Linked DNA regions of Caenorhabditis elegans. The protein of the gene in region 2 interacts with the protein of the main gene of each other region in a pairwise test. Each region holds a gene or a part of one and is shown on either strand. Other genes may lie near its edges. The genes, in order: acs-24, F53G12.4 and ttm-2.

Region 1 (7,895 bases), 3.6 Mb from region 2:
TTCCTGTTGTGAATCATTTTTTCGAGAATCGCAATGAGGATTCTGAAACTTCTAGTGGTGTTCCTTATATTTAACGTGGTTGGAGCATATTCTGCCCTTCGACATAAGAATTCAGGTGCACGGAATCGGTGGATGGTATGAATTTCAACTTGTTTCGAAATGGCAAACTTCTCCCTTCTTTAGAGTGCATTTTCTGATTTTTTTTTCGAAAACACAAATTTGCTGCAACTTTTGTAGATCAAAAATAAGTTGCTCCGTGGCCGTCAAAAATTGACGGCCTAGTTTTTCTAAATTTTATTTTATATCACATATGTTCTAAAGCATACAGAAATCTTTAGTATTCAGAGTGTTTGCTGTTAAAAAAATTAGAAAAAAAAACGAAATCTCAAAAACGCATATAATTTTGGCCGACACAGTATATACAATTGTTTAAAAATTGCACGTTTCAAGAATTAAGTTATTTTCTTATTCCTCGGCTACAAAAAATCAGTAAAAACACCAAAACTTTCTTTCAATTTTAGCGAGACGACGAAAATGCCCAAGGTCTCATGGGTGGCTCAATTGGAATGGTTATCAAGAAACCAGTAAGTGGTCCCGCAGCGAAGAACGGTGGGAAATCATAATTTTGGACTTTAATGAAGATTTATGAGCATTTTATTATATACATTCAACTTCAATGCAACATATGACGGACTAGTTTTCCAGATGGGTTTCTAGGCAGTTCTTCCACAAAAATGACGTCATCCAGTTGTTTATAGGATGCCAAGTTGTCTGGTAAAGGGTGAACTTGAAAAAGAAAAAAAAGTTACAAAAAGCTACCTTTCACAATTTTAAAAATGTCTGCTTTTGAATCCGGGTTTCCAATAATTTTTGCAGTTAATTTTTCTTGATTCTGAAATTGGTATTTATTGTGTTGTTTTGAATCCGACGAAATCATAAATGAGGCGGAAATGAAATTTAGTAAAATTTCCCAAACAAATTTTTTAAATGAAAGTTTATCAAGAACTAATCAGTTATACGAGAGGCGATGGCCGACCGTTTTATTTTTGGGTATCGGCTTTGGCTGACTCTTCTGTTGTTGAAATGTGTGTTTCAAAGACAATAATGCTGAAGTAACAAATCAGAATAAATTGAATAAGAATTTTGAAAAATTATAATAATGTATTTAAACATCAACGGCTCTCCGCTCTTAAGTAAAAAATCAAGATTGTAAACGTAGGGAAAGAGCATTTGTCAAAAGTGTTCAAATACCTCTTCTAGGAACAGTGCGTATCTTCGCTACATATAAAAGAATCGGATCATGTCCGTGTTGCGGAATTTCTTGTCACTTTCCTAATGTACAGCATTTGACTCGCAAATTTACCTGATACACGGCACAATCCAAGACACCCTCCACTTTCCGGATCACGTCTTCAACTTCATTTGGATTAACTTGCCATCCACGAATTTTCATCATTTCCTTGGATCTTCCCACAATCATTAGCTCAATTGTCTTGAAGCTCAAGCATCCCAGGTCGCCTAAATTTGAAAAATTGAATTAATTTCTTTATTTCACGAACCAGTCTCCATGAATCCTTCTTCCATAGCTGTGGCAGATTTCACAAAAATCTCATTATTTTCAGGATTGATCTTAAGCTCGACGAAAGGGAATGGCCATCCAACAGTCTTTCCAGAAGCTTTTCCTTTTCCAGTACTGCACAGGAGTACACCACATTCAGATGTTCCGTACACTGAACATGAAATTTGTGTGAATGTATACTTAAGGCAGGTCATGTCAAATGGGACAGCCTGCCTTGTGCCTACCCTGTTAAATTTCCAAACATCGTTCAAAAAGATCGCCAAATTACAAAAAAAAAAGACCGAAGGCAGGCAGGCATAAATACGTGCATACCTTGTATGGTAGCTAACATGTACGTCCTTCCATTTAAAAGTGTGTAATTTGGTCTCGAAACGCTTCACATCAAATAGCCAAAAATTTACAATTTACCGGTGCCCCGTTCAAATTCACGTTGATCGTGGCTCACCGAAAAATATGCTCACACCTTTAAGTTCAAGTGCAACATTTTCTCCTAATGAAAAAACTTACATTGTAACTAAACTTACATTGTATCAAATTCTCGAGCTCCGGTAATCTTTCCGCAACCTTTGCAAAATTCTCCGGAGGACTTGCAGCAGCGCCAACATATATGGTTTTCAATGCGGAAAGGTCGTAACTGGACACTAATGGATGATTAGCGAAGAAATTGAGAACGGGTGGAACCAGAAACAACACTGAGACTTTGTAATTTTGGCAATTTGCCAAGAACTCATGCTCATTCCATCGTTCGTTTATCAAAACAGTACATCCAGAAAATATCATGGAGAGTATTGTAATTAGGCCACCCGCATGGAAGAATGGAAGAACTCCATAGCAAATGTCATCAGTTGAAGGAGAGAAGAATCGAGGATCTGATCTAATTGCCTTGATTTGATCGATTTGGGAGCATAGAATTCTTTGAGTATACTCGAATTGTTTAGGTGGACCTGTAGTTCCAGAACTAAAAAATACAATGACTCCCTGATTCTCTGGAGTTGAAGCAGTTGAAGATGGAGTTACATTTGAAGTGAATAGCTCCGATATAAGATTCACTTCTCGTTCTTCGAATTTGTCCAAATCCACATCATCACTGACAATTATGAAATTCGCAATGGATTTGGAAATGTACTCATCAATCTCATCTGAAAATTTAGTAATATTTGTATTTTAACGATTTTTCACGGAGTTTCAATTGCTCAATTCTTGCCAAAGTCATCGAGATCTAGTTTCACAGAACGATGGATATTCAACGAAGGTTCTTGAAGCCTAAGCGGAAGCCTAAGCCTAAGACTAACTGTAAGCAAAACCTCACATTTTTTATAAGATGGATTTAGTGGAATTACTGTAACTCCGGAAAGTTGCCCGGCCACAATTATTGCTAAAATATCTGGAGAATTCGTGCAGAATAGTGCAATACGGAGCGGATTTGTTGTTCTAAAAATTATACACGTTCAAAAAAAAACAACATAATTTCTCACTTTGTCTTTTGCTCATCTAGAACGTTCTTCCATTTTCCAATGTATTCGTGAAATTCTTTAAAAGAAATTTCCCTGTCTCTCCAGATCTGAAAACATGTTATTTCTTGAAGTTGGGCTCAAAAATTGAAGCTTACCAAACACGTTTTGTTCTCAAAAATAGACGTTTCTTCAAGAAATTCACGACCGAAATTTCGCATCATTCTTATTGTACAGAATGTTTCTTTCCAGAAAATAACGTAACATTTAATTGGGTCCAGTTTTCAAATTAGCCGCGGTTTGGAGGCTCAGACTACTGTATTGACATCATGTTGACATTGACAACAAACCACAAATAAAATTACACATTAAATTTTTAGAGACCCATATAATATCGGCAGTATAAATTTAAAAAAGAAGGAAACTGTACATCGGAAAATGAATCATTTCATAATATTTTTTATTTTTACTATCCTATTTTTCGTTGAAACAGCTTCGAAGGTAAGCACACAATCACAATTTACGCGCAAATGTTTCGTTTTAAATGCCTTTAAAAGTATAGAACTAAAATCATAGGTAGGCAAGTTTTCATGCCTACATGCCTGCCTACTGTCGAAGTTTTATATTTTGTCCAGAACTAGGTTTTAGACATTTTACAATTGCAGATAAATTTTAATTGGAAAATTGAACAAAAAAGAACAAAGTTCATTTGTATTATGACAAAACGGGTCTGTGTAGGTACAAGGCAGGCGTAGGCCACCTGACCGACAGACAGGAAATTTTGATTTTTAAGCCGATTTTTGTAAGCCAAAGTTGAAAGGAAATTATCAAAATAAATAGAAATATTATTGAAACTATTTTATAACAATTTGAGTTTTCTTAAAAATTGCATGCAATCGTGCCAATACCCACTTTATGGCCGCAACAAGTTTCAAACATTTTCAGATCATCATGGGCGGTATGGACGGATTTCGCATCACCGATTCTACCACAACAACCCTATCTTCTTAAATAAAATGTGTTTTTCATAGAAAAAAGTTTTACGAGCCGAAGAAAAAGAGATCAATTATCAAGATTAAACCCGTCTTTGTTTAAATTATAATCAGTTGAACATCGTAGAGATGAACTGAATGACTTCCGAGCAGGACGTCGTTTTGTTCGATTTGAGCTTATTAATGAGATGAACACTTCGAAGAAGAAACAGGCCACCTGAAAAAAATGTTACTGTGGAAGAGAAATTGTATTTTAAACTAGTCCTCGGAAGAGTTGAGGCTTTAAAAATAGCGGAGCAAGGGCGCTCTAACAAAAAAGAAAAATAAATTCAGCAAAAAAAAGCAAAAAAGGAAAGTGAAAATTGTTCACTTTCTAATTTCCCACAGCCCAAAAGTAAAGAACTCACTTCTCCAATAGTGATCACACTGACACCCATCCACAATCCCAATTGTCCACCAAAATCAGATAAAAGGTTCGACCATCCATAGGCTTCGGATTCCAAAAGTGATTCATAATTGAGTTGTTCAAAGTACACTTCAATCATGGATCCTTGTTCTCTTTTATAATTCAAACAATGATGGGCAGCCATTCCAAGTGGGCATCCAGATAAATCTCCAGCAATCGCAGGCCACCTTGAAGCCGAGTAGGAAACAGAATAGACATCTTGGCTGAAAATGTTTGCAGAGTTGGTTCAATGAAATGAAAATTGAGAATTTATTCGAAATTTTAGTTAAATTTTCCAGAATTAAAAACTCACTTGCAAGGTTGCTTGCACGAACATCCAAGCTTCTTCGAGTCTCGAGTTGCCACGTGCATCTCGTTTTTAATACATTCACCTGAAACAAATTCAATTTTTAAAAAGTTCTAATAGTTTCCAAAAAACCTACGTTTATAGGGGTCATCTACCGGACAATTTTTCGATTCCCGGTACGGTGGGAACCTGGGATCTCCACATCCACAAGTTTTTGATAAATGTTTTTGAATACAACTTCTCTGGCATCCTTCCGTATTATAGGCCTTCTGAGTGTAAATGAAGTCCTCAGTTTTTCCTTCTCGAACACAATCTCCATATGGAGCAGGCAGGCGGACCATTGATTTCTGAGCGATTTTTTTTTGAAATTTGATATAGTTGGCACGGCTATAAAAATTGCGCATCAAATAAGACGAAGGCGGATAGGTGTATGGGCGGCTCATTTAAAACAGTACTCTCAAAAAAAGGCTTACCAATTTAATACCAAAACTGCTAACAAAACCAGTTGGCGCTGAAAATCCAAGAGTATCTGGAAATGGTTGCTCGTCGGTTGCATGAACTGTTAACCGGACTCCAGCTGCCTCAGTCGTTGGCAGGTATTCAGTTACATTCACAAAAACTTCTAGTCGAAGTCCTAAATTACTTGCTTTAGCTTTTTGGAAAATTTAATACTCACCATAAGCCGGGCCGGACCGTTCATTCGTATTATTGCCCAGCTTCTGGCCATATGTAAAGCATGCACCATACGTTGGATCAAGGTATTCCACGAAATCACTGAAACATCATCTTAGTTTTAAGTTACACCCCAGAAAATCTTTACTGTTTCACATTGCACTCCCTTCCGTTAAAAGAACATTTCATAATAAAATCAGACTTATTATAAGAAATCTTCCATTTCTCTTCTTCCGTCAGCGCATCGACAGCAAAAATCATGTTCTCCATTGCTTTTGCTCGTAGAGCAATTCTATCTTTCACACCCTAAAAAGCTTTCAGTTTTCTTCTAGAATTTCAGTTTCTGTGGCTGAAACCTACCGTATACCCATACGCTTTATCCCGTTCTTCTTTCTTTTTCACAATTGGAGACATTGTAGTTGATGGCTGAATATCCCAAAACTTGACTACGCGATCATCTGAAACCTTTTGTGAACTTTCAAATTCCAAATTCCAAAAAATTAAAATTCCCACCTAAACTTGTATCATTAGTTTGCGGAGGGTCGATCCGCACGCACATTTTGATCGGAGTAGCGCAGAGACAGGAAATCGTTTGCTTTTTCGGTTTATCACTATACACGCAGTCACCCATTGTGTTACATCTGAATTTTTCAAGTTCAAAAAACTCTGTGAAATATGCTCAACCTGCTGCACTTCCTCTCCTCCCATTCCGGTTCTTTGTAGCATGGCCATATTTGTTCGTTCTTTTTATTGTAGAAACAGAGGCACGTTTTATTGGAGTTTTCCAGATCCATGTCGGGTACCTGGAAAATGAAGAAAGCTCGAGCTCATTTTTTGTTGATAGAAACATCAAACAATTCAAGGAAAACTCACCGAAGTAGACACACAGCCATGTTGTTTAGTACAATTACAATGCGAGTAGACAGCTAGTAGACCCTCATATCTACTGAGAAGACGCTCATGGACTTTCCTCTCGGGAGTTCTTCTTTTTCGTTTCTGAAAGTTGAATATCTAGTTAAAGGTGGGGTAGCGCCAGGGAGAATTTTGCCAAGAATGGTCTAATTTTTTAAAAATGATTTTTGATAATTTTCAGTTGAGTTGCCAAATTATCGGAAAATTTGGATTTCAAGAATTTTAGAATAATACCTGTTTTTCAAACGCTTGCAATGCCTGGATGCAAATTAGAATTGGCTCAATGTCTGCCGTTTTTTAAGGAGATCTCTGCATGCCTGCCTCCTGCCTACACGTTGCCTACTGAACCCTAGTAAAATCACCTTAACATTTCCCTTAATTTGAAAGCAATTTCCATGATGACAGATACAAGTTTTTGAGTCGATTTCTTCTTCCAAATCCATATCATCAGACTCTTCACACTTGCCCAACCAATCACAGTTACTACACGTGGATACTTGAAATTTTTGAGCAGATGCACAATATCTGGGACCACTGGATTCAGGGGAAATGCAAAGTTTTGTGCCGTTTTTGGAAAGTTGAAGTGGCCACACCAGTTGTTTCTGGAATTTTTTGTTTGATAGAGAATAGTCTGAAATGTTCAAGTATACTTATAACGATGCAATTTTTAAAACTTCATTTTTTCAAAAATTTCACTACAATTTTGCAAATATATTTTTGAATTATTTGAACTGCTGCGCAAATTGGGTACTGTATTACGGCTAGAGCACGGCAAATTTTGAAAAAGCGCATTTGCCGAATTTGTCGAACTCGGCAAATTTTCATATTTGCCGCATTACGACCTATTTTTTAGTTTGTTAAAATAAAATTTAAAACATTTTTCGAGTTATATTTATTTGAAAGAAGACAATTTTAAATCTTTTATATATCCATTCCGACAATTTTAGACAATTTTCTACCTCCAAACTTACCGTAACCTCATCCGAAACACAAGTGTCCTCAAAGCATTTACACGTTTTCAATTGATTGGATCCCTCTGCCAAGTGGCAAATTTTATGTGTCCAATCTTTTCTTTGGTGACAATTCCAGAATATTTCATCATCGTCGGTGTCACCAACTTTTGACATATCCTCAAAAGTGACACATGTCTGAAAATGGGAATATTAGAGGGATTTCGTAAGGAGTCTAAGTCTAAAAATCGATTTGCCTGGAAAAATGGTATTGTGAAATAACTGTGCTATAACATAAGTAACTGCGCAAAACCTTGCAAAATTCAATTACAATTTTGATTAGAAAGCACCGACCAATCAGTGAAGTGCTTTGCTTGTCGCTGATTGGTCGGCATGGGAAAAACTCTACTTACACATTCCACGTGCCCATAATCATGAGCAGTAAACATTCCGTGCTCCTCCTTACACAGTAAATCTATCGGGACCATTTTTGAATTAGCTGATCGCTTTTTCCTTTTTGAATGTGCATTCCCATCACTTTTATCAATTGCTAGCTCGAATGCTTCAATCTGAATATCTAGAATTTA
Region 2 (5,448 bases):
GGTTGTGGGCACTACCGCTCCCCAAGGGGACTAGGTTTCCGTGTGGAAGAGAAAATGTTTATACTCTTCCATGTTATTTGCCAATAGAGCGGATTTGCATCTGCGAGGATGGATGAGTTGTTATGCCACGCAGCTAATCCCTATGGCCTTGGACTTTTTCTTGGTAACTGAAAAGTTGCTTTCCTAGCAATCGCACTAGCATCAATGAAAGAGTTTTTTTCGTTTTCAAAGTCATCAGGACTTACCCAGAAATTTACCAGTAAGAACTAAAATAAAAATAACCAAATATAAATTGAGAAAACTCATCTCTCACAGAAAATCGGCGCCAAACTTTGAAAAATTACACTCAAATATGGTTTTGTGTACATTTTGCTCCTCTTTCTCAGTGGCTCCGCCCGCTCGACACACATTTGTTCGTAGTTTGCGCGAACTTTTTTCAAGTTGAATTGTTGAAATTCCTAGGTGAGAATTTATTTATTTCAAAAGAAATTTTTTAAAAGAAGAAAATTTTAAAAAGAATAATCGGATCCTCCGGAAGATAGTAGACCGGTGTCGAAATCTTCAAGCTCGTCGATTGATTCTCCTGAAAATTTTTTATTATTGATTTTTCAGGAAATTCATCGATTTGTATGTAGAGGCATGTTTTTTTTTTACTTTTGCTCCGCAAGCGGAATATGCGCCTTTAAAATTATAAGCTACAGGAACAATGATCGATTTTTAGGAGAGTTGCATAATCACGTGCTCGCTGGCTGTCTCAAAATTCACGTTTTCTCGCGGACGAGAAAACTTGAGAAATATGAGAAAATGGCCTAGAAAATCCTGGAAGAGGAGAATTCCTCGTCCACAGCCAAAATAGCGTGTGAAAGAAGAGATGCAGACGGCAAAACGGTTATTCTTTGCGTTTTTCACGTTCAGAGAAAAAAGTAGTATCTGCGTCTCTCACGCCCAATGGATAGCGAGAGTTGGCGCAAACGTGAATTCTCAATGAGGCGCGTTTGCTTCAAGCTTATGCAAAAGGACAGCCAGTGACCACGTGCATAATTTTTCGAAATTTTTGCATGGTGCAAGTTCAAAGTTACCTTCTGACAAGACCAACGGCTCCACTAGCTCCTGTTCCTTTGGTTTCGCTTCCTCCTTCTTTTTCTCCATAGGCAGTATAGACTTTTTCTTCGCCACGCCATCCTGCTCGAAATCCTCTAAATCATAATCCACGTTATCCGAGCCGAAAATGGCGTCGATTTCCCGACTTTTCGCGCTTTTTGTCAGCGGTGGTCGTCCCATGGAGAGCGGCGGAAGATGTGCGTTGAAAATCGCCGGAAGTGGGTCAGAAGTGCTTGCCACGTCATCAGTGACTAACGCGGATTTTGACGGACCCCATGCGTTGGGAATTTGGCTTAGTTCGATCATTTTCTCCGCGCCAGCTGCTGTGGGTTTCCCCAAGATATCCGAAAAAGTCAACTTCTCCTCGGAAGATGACGACGCGGATGACGTGGAAGAGTCGGAGGAGGACGATGAATCGTCGGAATCGTCTTCTGCCTGGTTGGATAGACGTGCGAGCTGAAAAATCGATCGATTTTTTTGCCAAGAAAAGTAGGAAAGTAGGACTCTCATGTCGGCGCCGCAAACGCCGCTCTCACGCCGCGATCTGAAATCTTTATAGCGATGCGCAAAATCCAAAAAGTGTCGGACCCGGAGTGAAGTTTGCACCACATAGTGTCATACGCTGGCACTAAATTTTACGCGCGCGCGCAAATACTTTTTTAATCATCATTTGAGTGATTTAGGGCATTGAAATTTTTCTTTTGAATAAAAGTCGCGAAACATCGATTTTAAAAAATCGCCTTGTCGACTTTTGTTAAATATTTCAAAAAAAAATTATTTAACGCAACTCACTCGTTCCCTCTCCATTTCCATCCGTTTCCGCATCGTTTTTCGAAATTCCTCATCACTAAGCGGTGTAATTTTCAACGGTGCTCGCTGTTTATCGACCATATTAATTTTTGCAAACGGGCGGCCGGCGCCAATCGATTTTATCGATTTTCGTTCAAAATCGTCACCGGTGCCATCGCGAATATCGATTTTCAGCTGACTTCGCAATAGATTATCGATTTTTTCCCCATTTTCCACGTGTTTTTCTGCACTCTCCATGTAGTTTCCAGACATTTCTGTTTTCAAGACTTGAGATGATATTGGATATCCATTCTGCTCGAGCCAATCGGCAATCATGCTATGGGTGACACGTTCTGTAAATTTTCAGAGTTAAGGCCACGCCCAATTATAGGATTTTCTTCAATGTGGGCGCACGATGTTTTTTGTTTAAATAGAAACTATGTTATCGACAAAAAATTGCACGCGCTCAAATTATAAAAAGTGGGCGTGGTAATACCATGTGTCGCGTTTTTTTTCAAGATTTCATGAGAATTACATGAAGATATATATATATATATAATCGAAAAAATACGATCGCACAAATTTCTCATAATATATTTTTTATCTACCTTGTTGACTAGGCTCCTCCCCGTCCTTCGACAAGACAGCTACAACAAAATAACAACGGCAACAAGATTGGGGGCGGAGTAAAGTTCAACAGGTAGATCAAAAATAAATTATGAGAAATTTGTCAGATCGTACTTTCTCGATAATAATTTTCAATGTTTTTTTCAGAAAATGAAATAACAACGCCTATTTTGCAGTTTTGCAAAAAGTGGCCGTGGCCAAAATACCCGTAGAACGCGGGGTTGCACTGAATCCTTGATTTTCTGACATTTTACCTATTACGGAAACACAAAATTCTGAAAATGCATATTGCACAATATATTTGACGCGCAAAATATCTTGTAACGAAAACTACAGTAATTCTTTAAATGACTACTGTAGCTCTTGTGTCGATTTACGGACTCGATTTTTGAAATTTATTTATTTTCGAATATTTTCGATATTACACTTTCATTCGTTTCTTCGTGTCTTTATTTTCTCATTTTTATCTAATTTTAAAATTGAGCCCGTAAATCGACACAAGCTCTACAGTAGTCATTTAAAGAATTACTGTAGTTTTTGCTACGAGATATTTTGTATTTTGAATTGTGTGTTCCTGAAAAAATTTTGAAGTTTTTAAGTCGAAAATTGTGATTTTTTTGGCGAAAAGAGCATTTTTCATAAAAGAAAAATCCTTTTTTTTTCAGAAAATTTCAAATTTTCTAAAAATTTCACCTCTATACGTCAAATCCCTACTCGTTTTCTTTGGCGTTTCCCCCAACGTGGCACTTATCGTCGCGCGGATATATGTCTGAAACAATGGGACACCTCAAAATATAATAAATATTTTTGAATTATTAATATATTCAACTATTGTGCTATTATTACCCGCAATGGTGCATATTGTGGCAATTCGGACAATTGATCGGCCAATTGACGCAGGATAGGATTTGTTGAGTGCATTTAATAATAGTAAAGGTATAGTATAGGGCGTGCGCGAGTGAGCCAAAAGCTCGGGGAGTTGCTATGGATACCAGAATATGGAGAGACGACACGAATCGCTTCATTCACATACACCAAAATCTGTGGAATATATCAGAACTTTTACAAAATACGATAAATTTGATGGGTGAGGTGGGGATCACTCGAGTTTTTAATTATAAAGAGGTGCTATAAATATAAAAGGCCTCTCAATTCTCCGTTAGTTGTGCGTAGTAGAGAGGGGGAAAATTGGGAGTTAAACACTAGGTGAGAGATAGAGAGAAAAGAGGAAATCCTTATAATATATATAATTTTTGTTTAAAACATGAGTTGGTCGTCCTATCATAATGCAAAAAAGAATAATAGAGAAAGTTACAGATTTTCCAAAAAAACCTACTGTAGGAATATATATTGGGGGACTGCATGGGTTACATATATAAATATATATAATATAGATATTTCAAAAATATGAATAACAAATAATAATAGTTATATATAAATATATGTGATTTTTTTCGTTTTTTTTGTCTAGGATTTTGGGGTGAGAATGATGGTGATTTTTGTGTGTTCTAGTAATGTAGTAAAGAGGTGAGAAAATGGGAATGGAGGGACTCGTACACCGATGAACAAAGTAGAAAATGGGAAAAAGAGTCTTTTAAAGAATGGAAAGATGAATTTGGAACTCGTTGAGGATGGGTTTTTGCTAGATGAGAGTCTACACGATAGTAATGGAATGATGAATGGATCCACAGCTTATCCATTGATCGGCACGAGAGTATGATCGTTGTGATCGCAGGTCGATGAAGTCGGCGAGGCAGATGCTGAAGCCAACGATCCTGGGCTCAGATTCATGTTTCCGCCAGACCAGATTGTGCTGAGAAGACCGAAGCCGGCGGATGTTCCTTTGAGGGAGGACATGAGCCTGCAAAAAATTTGATTTTTCATAAATTTACAATTGAAATTTTCTAGTTTTTAAAGAGAATATCACACTTTTGTGGAAAAAATTTACGACTTGATATTTCGAGATATGTCGAAATTAAAAAATATGTATGATAAATTGTAAATTTCAGTAATTTTCCTTTAAATTTCAAGTTTTTCTCATAAAATAAATAAATTTAACTTTACCTCTTAAAATTGGAATTTCACCTTTTTCTCTCAAAAACGAGGTTTTGAAAAAATCAATTTTTTGCATGTGAAAAAAAACATATTTTTTTGAAGTTCAAAAGAAAATTACAATTTTTCTTTTATTGTTCAAAAAAAATTTTCTTTTTATAGATTTCTGACGGACAAAATCCAATTTTATTTAAAAATTTTTGAATTTCAAATGAAAATTATAATTTTTATAGAGAAAACTACGATTTTACTCTTTTTTATTTTCAAAAACGGATAGGTTCAAGATTTCGGAAAAATAATTTTTTAATGTGAAATTTTTTAAACATTCTGAGTTTTAGAAACGTTATTTTTTATTTAAAAAATTGATAAGAAGCCGTCAGGTTCCGAGTGGAAAACACGAAAACTTGTTTTTTTTTTAAATTTTTTAGCGGAAAATCAAATTTTCTTTCAAAAATTTAGAACTTTGAAGGAAAATTGCAATTTTTAGTTTTATTTCAAAAATTTATAAAATTCCTTCAAAAATATATACCCATTGGTTGGGGATTCCTCGCGTTTCTCCAATCCCATCGACGACCATGCGGACAGGGCATCGTACTTGCGGCTGAGAATTTCTGAAAAATCCTTATTTGTCATTTAAAATTCTTATTAAAATTCGCAAAAAAAGCTTACCGTTCTCCATAATATCATTAAGCGAGTTGTTGGTTCCCCAGTAGTCGTAGGTTGGCAGATCTTGTTTCGCCGATTGTCCTCCTCCCAACGATGGACGAGAAGACAGTCCAGTACCGGAAAGAGATTCCGGAGTCAACGAACTACGCATCGATGGGAAACTGCGGAGCAACGCGTCCAATCCCAACGAGCTCTCCATTCCGAATGGCGACG
Region 3 (7,144 bases), on a different chromosome or scaffold from region 2:
AAACTATAACATGCTTGAACGTTTTAGAAATTGGATTGTGCCTGAAAGTTATTGTTTGAAACATCGTAGGAATACAGATGGAATTTGGCAAATTGAGCGTGGACGCCTCTCACTCGCCTCCTCACGCCATTCCAACAGTCCTGTGTTCACATTTTATTTAGCTTTTTGGAGCTCCAGAAATCACATGGTGTCAGAGTGTTCCATCTTTGTTGGAACTTTGAAAATTCTGGCAGGCTCTCGCTCAGGAAAAGTGTGACGTGACACGCTCTTTGTCTTGCAAAACCAGTCAAAAAGTCTGTAGCTAAAGTTGGCGCAATTCCCGGAGATCAAATCAAGAGAACACACTTTGGAGAACTACGTGACATTCGGGGGCCTTTCCGGGAGAGTGGAGAGAGGTGAGCCGAGCCCCGTGAGATATCATGCCATAATTCCCAATTTCCGAAACTTCTAGAAACGCTTTTCCGCACACTAAACCAAGATAACTCGAGACCACAAACTACACATCACAAGTAACACAAATTTACTACACCAGCGCCTTCAACTTAAGACGTCACAACGTCTCGTGTCCCATCGCCACGTCATCCTAATCAGATCAAAACCTAGTGAGCCGTAAGTGAATCAGGTCGGCAGTGATGGTGAAGTGATTCAGAAACAAGTCACATTCCACCCGTTTTTTCTTGACTTCTTCCTGCAAACCGTCTTTCCCTTGTTCGTCAAAGACAAATGACCCCCTCCCCGAAACTCCGCCCATTTTTGCCTCCAATTTTTGAGAAGGCAGGTCGTTGTATAAAACTAAAAGTTTTCCACAAAGTTTTATGGTATTCCATTATTCATTTCAAATATTATTTCCATTCTATTGATTAACTGATTTTTAATTTATTCTCTGATATCTGATAAAAAGTTTAAATCAGAAGACACAATACAATCACATTCCGATCTTATCATTCATCTATCCGTTTCCTCGATTTTACAACTTAATGATCACGATCTTCTCTTTTCCATTTTCCCTCAATTCTACCTGGTTTTGATTTCAAAACTTACTATTTGGTTTCATTTCAGAAGTTTCACACATTTACAAAAATGCTCGGCATGATGAACTCGCCTTCCGATTCTGTGGAGTTTTACGCCACAAACCGAAAAGTTTCCGATGAGCTGGGAAGTGCGGCGGAGAATTCTGAAGAATTGAAGAAATTCTCAGAAGTTAAGCAGAAAGATGTGGTTTCTTATACAGAAGGTAAGCTATTTTACAACGTCACCTTTCTCTCGCATATTGTTAACTTTTGGTTGAATACCGTCGAATTTCTGTCGCACTAACTCTAGAAAAAGTGAAAAAAAGCTAATTCTGAGGCCGTGTGCAAAAAAGTTATCAAATTTTTGAAAAAAAAAAATTAAAAATTAAAAATTTCGGCTTTCTGAGTTCAAGAACTGATTCAATTTTTTCCAGACGGCCGTAAAATGATCAATGGGAAGCTTGTCAATGAAAGTGATGCTCCAACAATGTGGGGATCCGCGTTGCTCCGTGGAAGAATCCGTACGATTACTGGAGCTCCACTCACTGACAAGGAAAAGAAAGAAGGTAATTTCGCAATTTCTTTCAATTAATTGAGCAAAATTGTGCTCCAGAACGCGAGAAAGTGCGTCGAAATTCGAAAAAGTTGGGGAAAACCATTGCGGTGGTGGCGTCACTACAAACTTTGGCTAGCACTGAAGTCATCGGGCAAGGTGTGCAAAATTAACTGCATGGCTTTTTCTAACTGCAAAAAATATATTTAAACTTATTTTCAAATAATTTCAGAATCCAACGCCCCACAACCAGTAGAAATCACGCCCGTCGCTGTTGTTGGCTCCGACAGTCCTCCGAAATAAATCAATTTATTCAATCAATTTATTCAAAATAATGATTACACTGTAGTGTGCAATAGTGGAAGACAACAACACAAAGGACCTCGTTACCCAAAACGCTTTATGACAAGTTTTATTGATTTTTCCGGAGTTTTTCTGTTCATATTGTTTTTTTTAAATACAATAAATGATTTATTAAAAATTAATTTCAAGCAAGCAAATCTACCGGTAAATTATTAAGAGTGTTGTTGGATGCAGAGATATCGACGAGAATGTCTGAAAATTCAGACATTTGGGAATTTATGATCAAGTGAATATGTTCAAAAATATTTATAAGACAGCCAGGCAGGCACAAGAATATTTAAATGTCTGCTCAATGTTGCCTACGGAAGTATGGGTTTCCAGCTTTTTAGTTTTTATAATATTTGGAATTTGGTGCAACTTGAGCACAGCGTAAAAATTTTAGAGCACCGTATAAATAAATCAAGTGGTCGATTTATTTTATTTGGTCCAATTTATAATATCCAAAATCTAATTTTATTTTGAAAAGTTTTGTAAGTGTTTGTTTCTTTGTTGTTTGTCAAAATTGTTTATTTTAATTTAGTAATTTGGACCTGGTTTTAATTTCTGCCCTGAAAACTTACCTTCTTTTTGCATTGACCTTCTGGAACTCTGATCCATTGTAACAATTGTAATGGGAACTTCATAGGATGCCAAAACAAAATTATGAGCTCTTCCAATTGTCACTTTTAATGAATATTCCGTTTTAAACAATCCATTCACATGAATATTTGGTGGTAAAGCAGGAACATTGAATGTCGGACGGAATGAGTAGGTTTCCCCAACAGCGATTTTTGTTTTACTGGGAAGGCCAACTCCTGAAATTGTACTTTTTTAAGTTTTGATAAGTTAATTTTAGCTAATTTTTGAGGTTTTTGAAGTAGATATTATTATAAATTAAAAAAGTACCATTTACCTGTAGTATCAATTTTAACCGTATCGATAACTTCATTATTTTGATTCAAAGCAGAAATGCGACGAACAATGTTCAAATGCACATATTTTAGTGATTGTTTCCATCTGAATAAGTAACCTTAAAATTTATAACATATTAAATTTTTCCGAAACCAACCTATTACAAATAGTGATACAATTTTCTAGTCTGGCAGTAGTTGTGAAAACATCTGTAGGTAGGAGCATTTCCAAAGAAATTGATCGCTCCCTGGAATAATATTAATTTTGTAGAACTGGTGTTTAAAATATTTTTGAAACTTCTTTAATTTTTTTTTCAATTTTTAATTCAAATTTGAACAATTTTTGGGTATGGTTGCATATTTGAATTTGAGTTTCCTGTCAAAATTCATTCTTACTTTGGAAAGTTAAAAGTTTTCTGAAAATTGACCGGCTTCGGAGTGACCTGCCGTTTGATAGATTCATAATTTAGTACGACGAGATTTTCTTCGTGAGATGCAATTTTAAATCCTTGGTTGTAAAGTTGGATCTGAAAAATATTATTTTTAAGTTTCAGAATCTTGAACTCCTTGCTTTTGAAAACGTGTAAAGTTTTGCCGACAAATGCGTAGTTTGCCTGAAGATGGGTTTTACCTTTTGAGCCTACACGAGAAACTAGGCACGTTGACTTAAAAGTGTGCCAGCATTAATAGACAACTTACTTCCAACGTGAACCTTATGGATACCGGAGATCCTGGGCAATAAAAACTCGGAGGTGCAAAATGAGGTAGTTCAATTTGAATAGGAAATGTTGCAGCTGTTGTGAATAAAGAGGAAGATGATGCAGATGCAGATTCGCTTGAAAAATGCCGATTTTGATTTTCATCATAGAATACATCCAATCCAAGCATTTCGCTAACTGTTTGATACTTCCAAAGTTGAGCTTTTTCGTCAATTAGAACTCGTGTTTTTGATGGTGGAAGTGGCGATCCATTACGGTTGTGATTAGGTGGAAGTTGTTGGAAATATTGAATTTCTCCATGAAGTCTGCCTTCTACACAGTCGATTTCGAGAGGGTGGTGGGGTTCGCAGACGACGTGACCCTGGAAATGTGATGTGAAATACAGGTCTTCATAGAACTTAAATTCGAAGTTTCAATACTTTTATGTTGCATAGATGCTGCGGGTGCCAATGATCAGTCCTTGACTCAAAATATAGATCATGGAATTGAAACCTGATCGATGGGAAATTTTGAATAAATCTAGTATGTAGACTATTCCTTTCAAATACCGCAAGTTTTTAATTTTCGGTTCCAGTAAATAAAATACATACCACCCATTTTATCGCAATAAAATTTTTTTTTAACACCCACTTGAATAGTTTGTCCAGGTTGATAAAATGGCCGATCGAGTAACACTGTGAATCGTATTTTGTCCAGCATTTTGGACTTCCCACCTGGAAAAAAAATTTAGAAAAATTCAAACATATAAGAAACAAACAAAAAAGATCAAAGCCACATTGTATACATAGTCTGAGTGTACTCGTAAACTCTTTGAATTACACACCAGAATATGATTATGAACAGGGCAGAGAGAGAATAAAAGATAGTTGATATATTCAAATTAAAGTTTCAGAGGACAACAAACTATCACACGTGATGAACATACAGGGGGGAAAGTCACAGAATTCATATATCACGTACGCTACAACTGCAGTAGAGTCATAAAAATATTGATTGAGATTAGAAAACTCCAGAAAAATCTCAAGAGAAGTAAATTAATTTTATCTTTGAGCTCTCTGAATTAATAAAAATTATAATTCCAGATGATTCAAGAAACTTCAGACTGAGCCTGCTATGAAGTCTCAAACATGCCTACCTTGTGCCTACATACGAACCTAATGGCAGAGTGCAAGAAACCGCTTGAGTTATAGAATGGGCAACCCTTATACTTTTACCTACATGAAATTCGGTATAGGCAGGTAGGCACGCAGGCAGGCCTCAGTTTGGGGTTTACGCCCGCATATGTGCATTCAACGGCAGTATTATTTCACATTAAGAAATAAAGGAAAAAGTAGAAAAGTGCAGTTTGAACGTAGAAAATAACTAGTTCTGAGTGTGTCAAATGAAAGCGTTCGTTTCCAGAATAATTAGAATAGAATAGAATAGAAGAACCTTTTGCGGATCGGTTAGAAGATTTTGAAAAGTAAATTGTTGGAGAAAAAAGAAAGATCAATCAGCTGGGGTGAAGATCAAAAGCAATCACTTTTGCACATATTGAAAAAAAGCTTGTTGATTTTATTTTGAACGACAAACAATCGTATGGAGGTCACAGTTCAAGACTGACGAGCAAAAGCTGACTGGAATTTTGAAACGAAATATTAATAAACACAACTTTTTGTAAAGTTAAAAAAAATTCAACTAAATTCTTTCAAAAGCTGCACAAATTTAAATGTGGGGTATCGTCCGGAGGGATTCTGTTTTAAAATATGGAAAATAGGGTCATAATGACTACTAAAATTTTAGAGTTTTGTTTTTGACTTTTCTTGTTATTCCATTAAAGACCTGACCATTTGAAATTTATTTTGTAACACTGGAAAAATTCATTTCAAAAAATTAGGAAACTTAGTTTATTTTGAACCCATCTTCTAATATTTAAAATAAAATCCCCATAGGCGCTCAAATTTGAGTTCCTTTAATTTTCAGAGGAGCTTGGAATTTTAGAAAACCAAAAATATTTTTTACAGAAAAAAAGCTAATAAGCTAATATTCCAATCAATTTCCAAAAATAGACAAAACCACCAAGAGCGATCAAAACAATCAATGAGAGATGCGAATTCGAAGTTGAAAGATGAAAAGGATAAGACCGACACATCTTCTCATTTTCTTATTTTTCTTCCGTCAACCTAGTGTGTCTCTATTCAACTTTTGAAGGTTACAAGATTCTTTTTTTCTTCATCTGTTCCTTATTTAAACTCATTTTCCGGCGGAGAATGATGAGTCAATTAAGATTGAAAGAGGGCAGGTGGAAACAGGAAGAAAAGGAACAGACGTTGTTAGCCACCCAAGGGGAGAGGGGGAAGATTTGAAATTAGGGTTTGAAGAATGAAGCTGAAGTTGTTATGCTGGCAAAGGAAATGCCTGACTGTCTGCCTACAATATCTTTGATTTTTAAGAAAATTCTGATTATTCAAGTTTTGACCATTAAACAAAAATTTGACTACACATTTCCAGAATTATAACAAATTTTGGGGTATTTTTATATAATGTTTGGCCACGCTAAAACATTAAGAGTGAAGTTAGACAAAATCCCAACTGACTCTACTCTACCTTAAAGAATTGTTTCTAAAACTTTTGTTAAAGGAAAACATTAGGCTTAAAAGCTCCAATTTAATTCATTTTTAAGAGCCAAATTACCAGAAAAAAATTCCAGAAAGCTTTCCTAGACCATTAAGCTTTCCTAATGGTTTAAACAGACAAAAAACACACGAAGAAACGAGAAAAGGGTGCAAAGGGTATTCAGCAAATGAGGTTGACACAGAGAGAGTGAACCGGTCGTTTATAAGTGTGGAATGGAAAAAGAAAAGAGAACAAACAGATCGGTACAGCCAGATATACTCTTTTTCAAAAGTCAATTTGTCTTAAGGGTTAAAGGTGAGTAAGAATAATAAGTGTAGGGTGAAGAATTATGGGAAAGTTTAATGCAATGATGGGAAAAAATTGAATTAAAACTGAAAGGCATGACCTAACAAGGATCTTAGATTGTCTCCCGCTGAGATGAATAAGTTGGCGGTAGATGAGGAAAAAAACTAGTTTTTTGAATTTTGGTTTTCAAAGTTTTTAAAGTGGACAAAAACACTCGAGCATATTTTAGTTGAATCAGAAAAACACAAGAGTGAATAAATGGAAAAATCCAATTTTGATTTTTTGTAATCTAAAAATTAAATTTTGATTTTAAAAATCAGTATTTTACTATCAACTTGTAGAATAAGATTTGAAGCGTAGTTTGTTAAAAATTTTTACGCTTCATAGTCTAAAACTAAATTCTTAAAAAAGAAACAAAATGAAGCAAAAAACATATAAAAGTATGGAATTAATTTTTTTCACATTTTTTTGAAAGAAAAACACCATTCTCATTGCATTACAGGCATACAAAGAATACAACTATTCAACTTTTGAAAAAAATCAAATTTTCAATTTCCGGGAAAACGACTCAAAATTTATGATGACTGTTTCAACATTGATAAATTTTCTTTGAACATTCCCTCCCATCACAAACACATCATTTTATTTTCACCAGCTGTCAATTCCACGCAAATTTGTGATTTAAAAGTGTTGTTTAACAGTCTTATC

What was found.
Region 1: the proteins of F53G12.4 (region 2) and acs-24 interact in a two-hybrid assay, tested with the Caenorhabditis elegans proteins (one large-scale study listed by BioGRID).
Region 3: the proteins of F53G12.4 (region 2) and ttm-2 interact in a two-hybrid assay, tested with the Caenorhabditis elegans proteins (one large-scale study listed by BioGRID).

Annotation. Positions count from the first base shown.
Region 1 is NC_003279.8:3,770,074-3,777,968, reverse strand, and holds acs-24 (AMP-binding domain-containing protein), read right to left. Parts: upstream 3,264-7,895; 5' UTR 3,255-3,263; coding exon 3,189-3,254; intron 3,141-3,188; coding exon 3,055-3,140; intron 3,011-3,054; coding exon 2,889-3,010; intron 2,719-2,888; coding exon 2,104-2,718; coding exon of another isoform or gene 2,051-2,103; exon of another isoform or gene 1,804-2,050; intron 1,731-1,803; coding exon 1,560-1,730; intron 1,519-1,559; coding exon 1,364-1,518; intron 893-1,363; coding exon 820-892; intron 772-819; coding exon 674-771; 3' UTR 624-673; coding exon of another isoform or gene 522-623; 3' UTR 501-521; downstream 1-500. Other genes in the region: C32E8.13 (uncharacterized protein), read left to right, coding at 34-135, 522-623; C32E8.12 (uncharacterized protein), read left to right, coding at 3,469-3,531, 3,976-4,041; Degenerin-like protein asic-1, read right to left, coding at 4,093-4,239, 4,430-4,691, 4,781-4,859, 4,911-5,121, 5,248-5,408, 5,451-5,548, 5,595-5,752, 5,807-5,904 and 6 more.
Region 2 is NC_003279.8:132,344-137,791, reverse strand, and holds F53G12.4 (LisH domain-containing protein), read right to left. Parts: upstream 3,456-5,448; 5' UTR 3,439-3,455; coding exon 3,364-3,438; intron 3,287-3,363; coding exon 3,211-3,286; intron 2,244-3,210; coding exon 1,894-2,243; intron 1,558-1,893; coding exon 1,080-1,557; intron 584-1,079; coding exon 510-583; downstream 1-509. Other genes in the region: mex-3 (K Homology domain-containing protein), read right to left, coding at 4,210-4,378, 5,099-5,180, 5,239-5,448.
Region 3 is NC_003280.10:4,762,137-4,769,280, forward strand, and holds ttm-2 (Protein ttm-2), read right to left. Parts: upstream 4,249-7,144; 5' UTR 4,235-4,248; coding exon 4,166-4,234; intron 3,897-4,165; coding exon 3,516-3,896; intron 3,344-3,515; coding exon 3,213-3,343; intron 3,065-3,212; coding exon 2,975-3,064; intron 2,923-2,974; coding exon 2,819-2,922; intron 2,721-2,818; coding exon 2,487-2,720; intron 2,119-2,486; coding exon 2,051-2,118; 3' UTR 2,023-2,050; downstream 1-2,022. Other genes in the region: F26G1.2 (Signal peptide protein), read left to right, coding at 1,081-1,234, 1,445-1,576, 1,624-1,722, 1,796-1,866.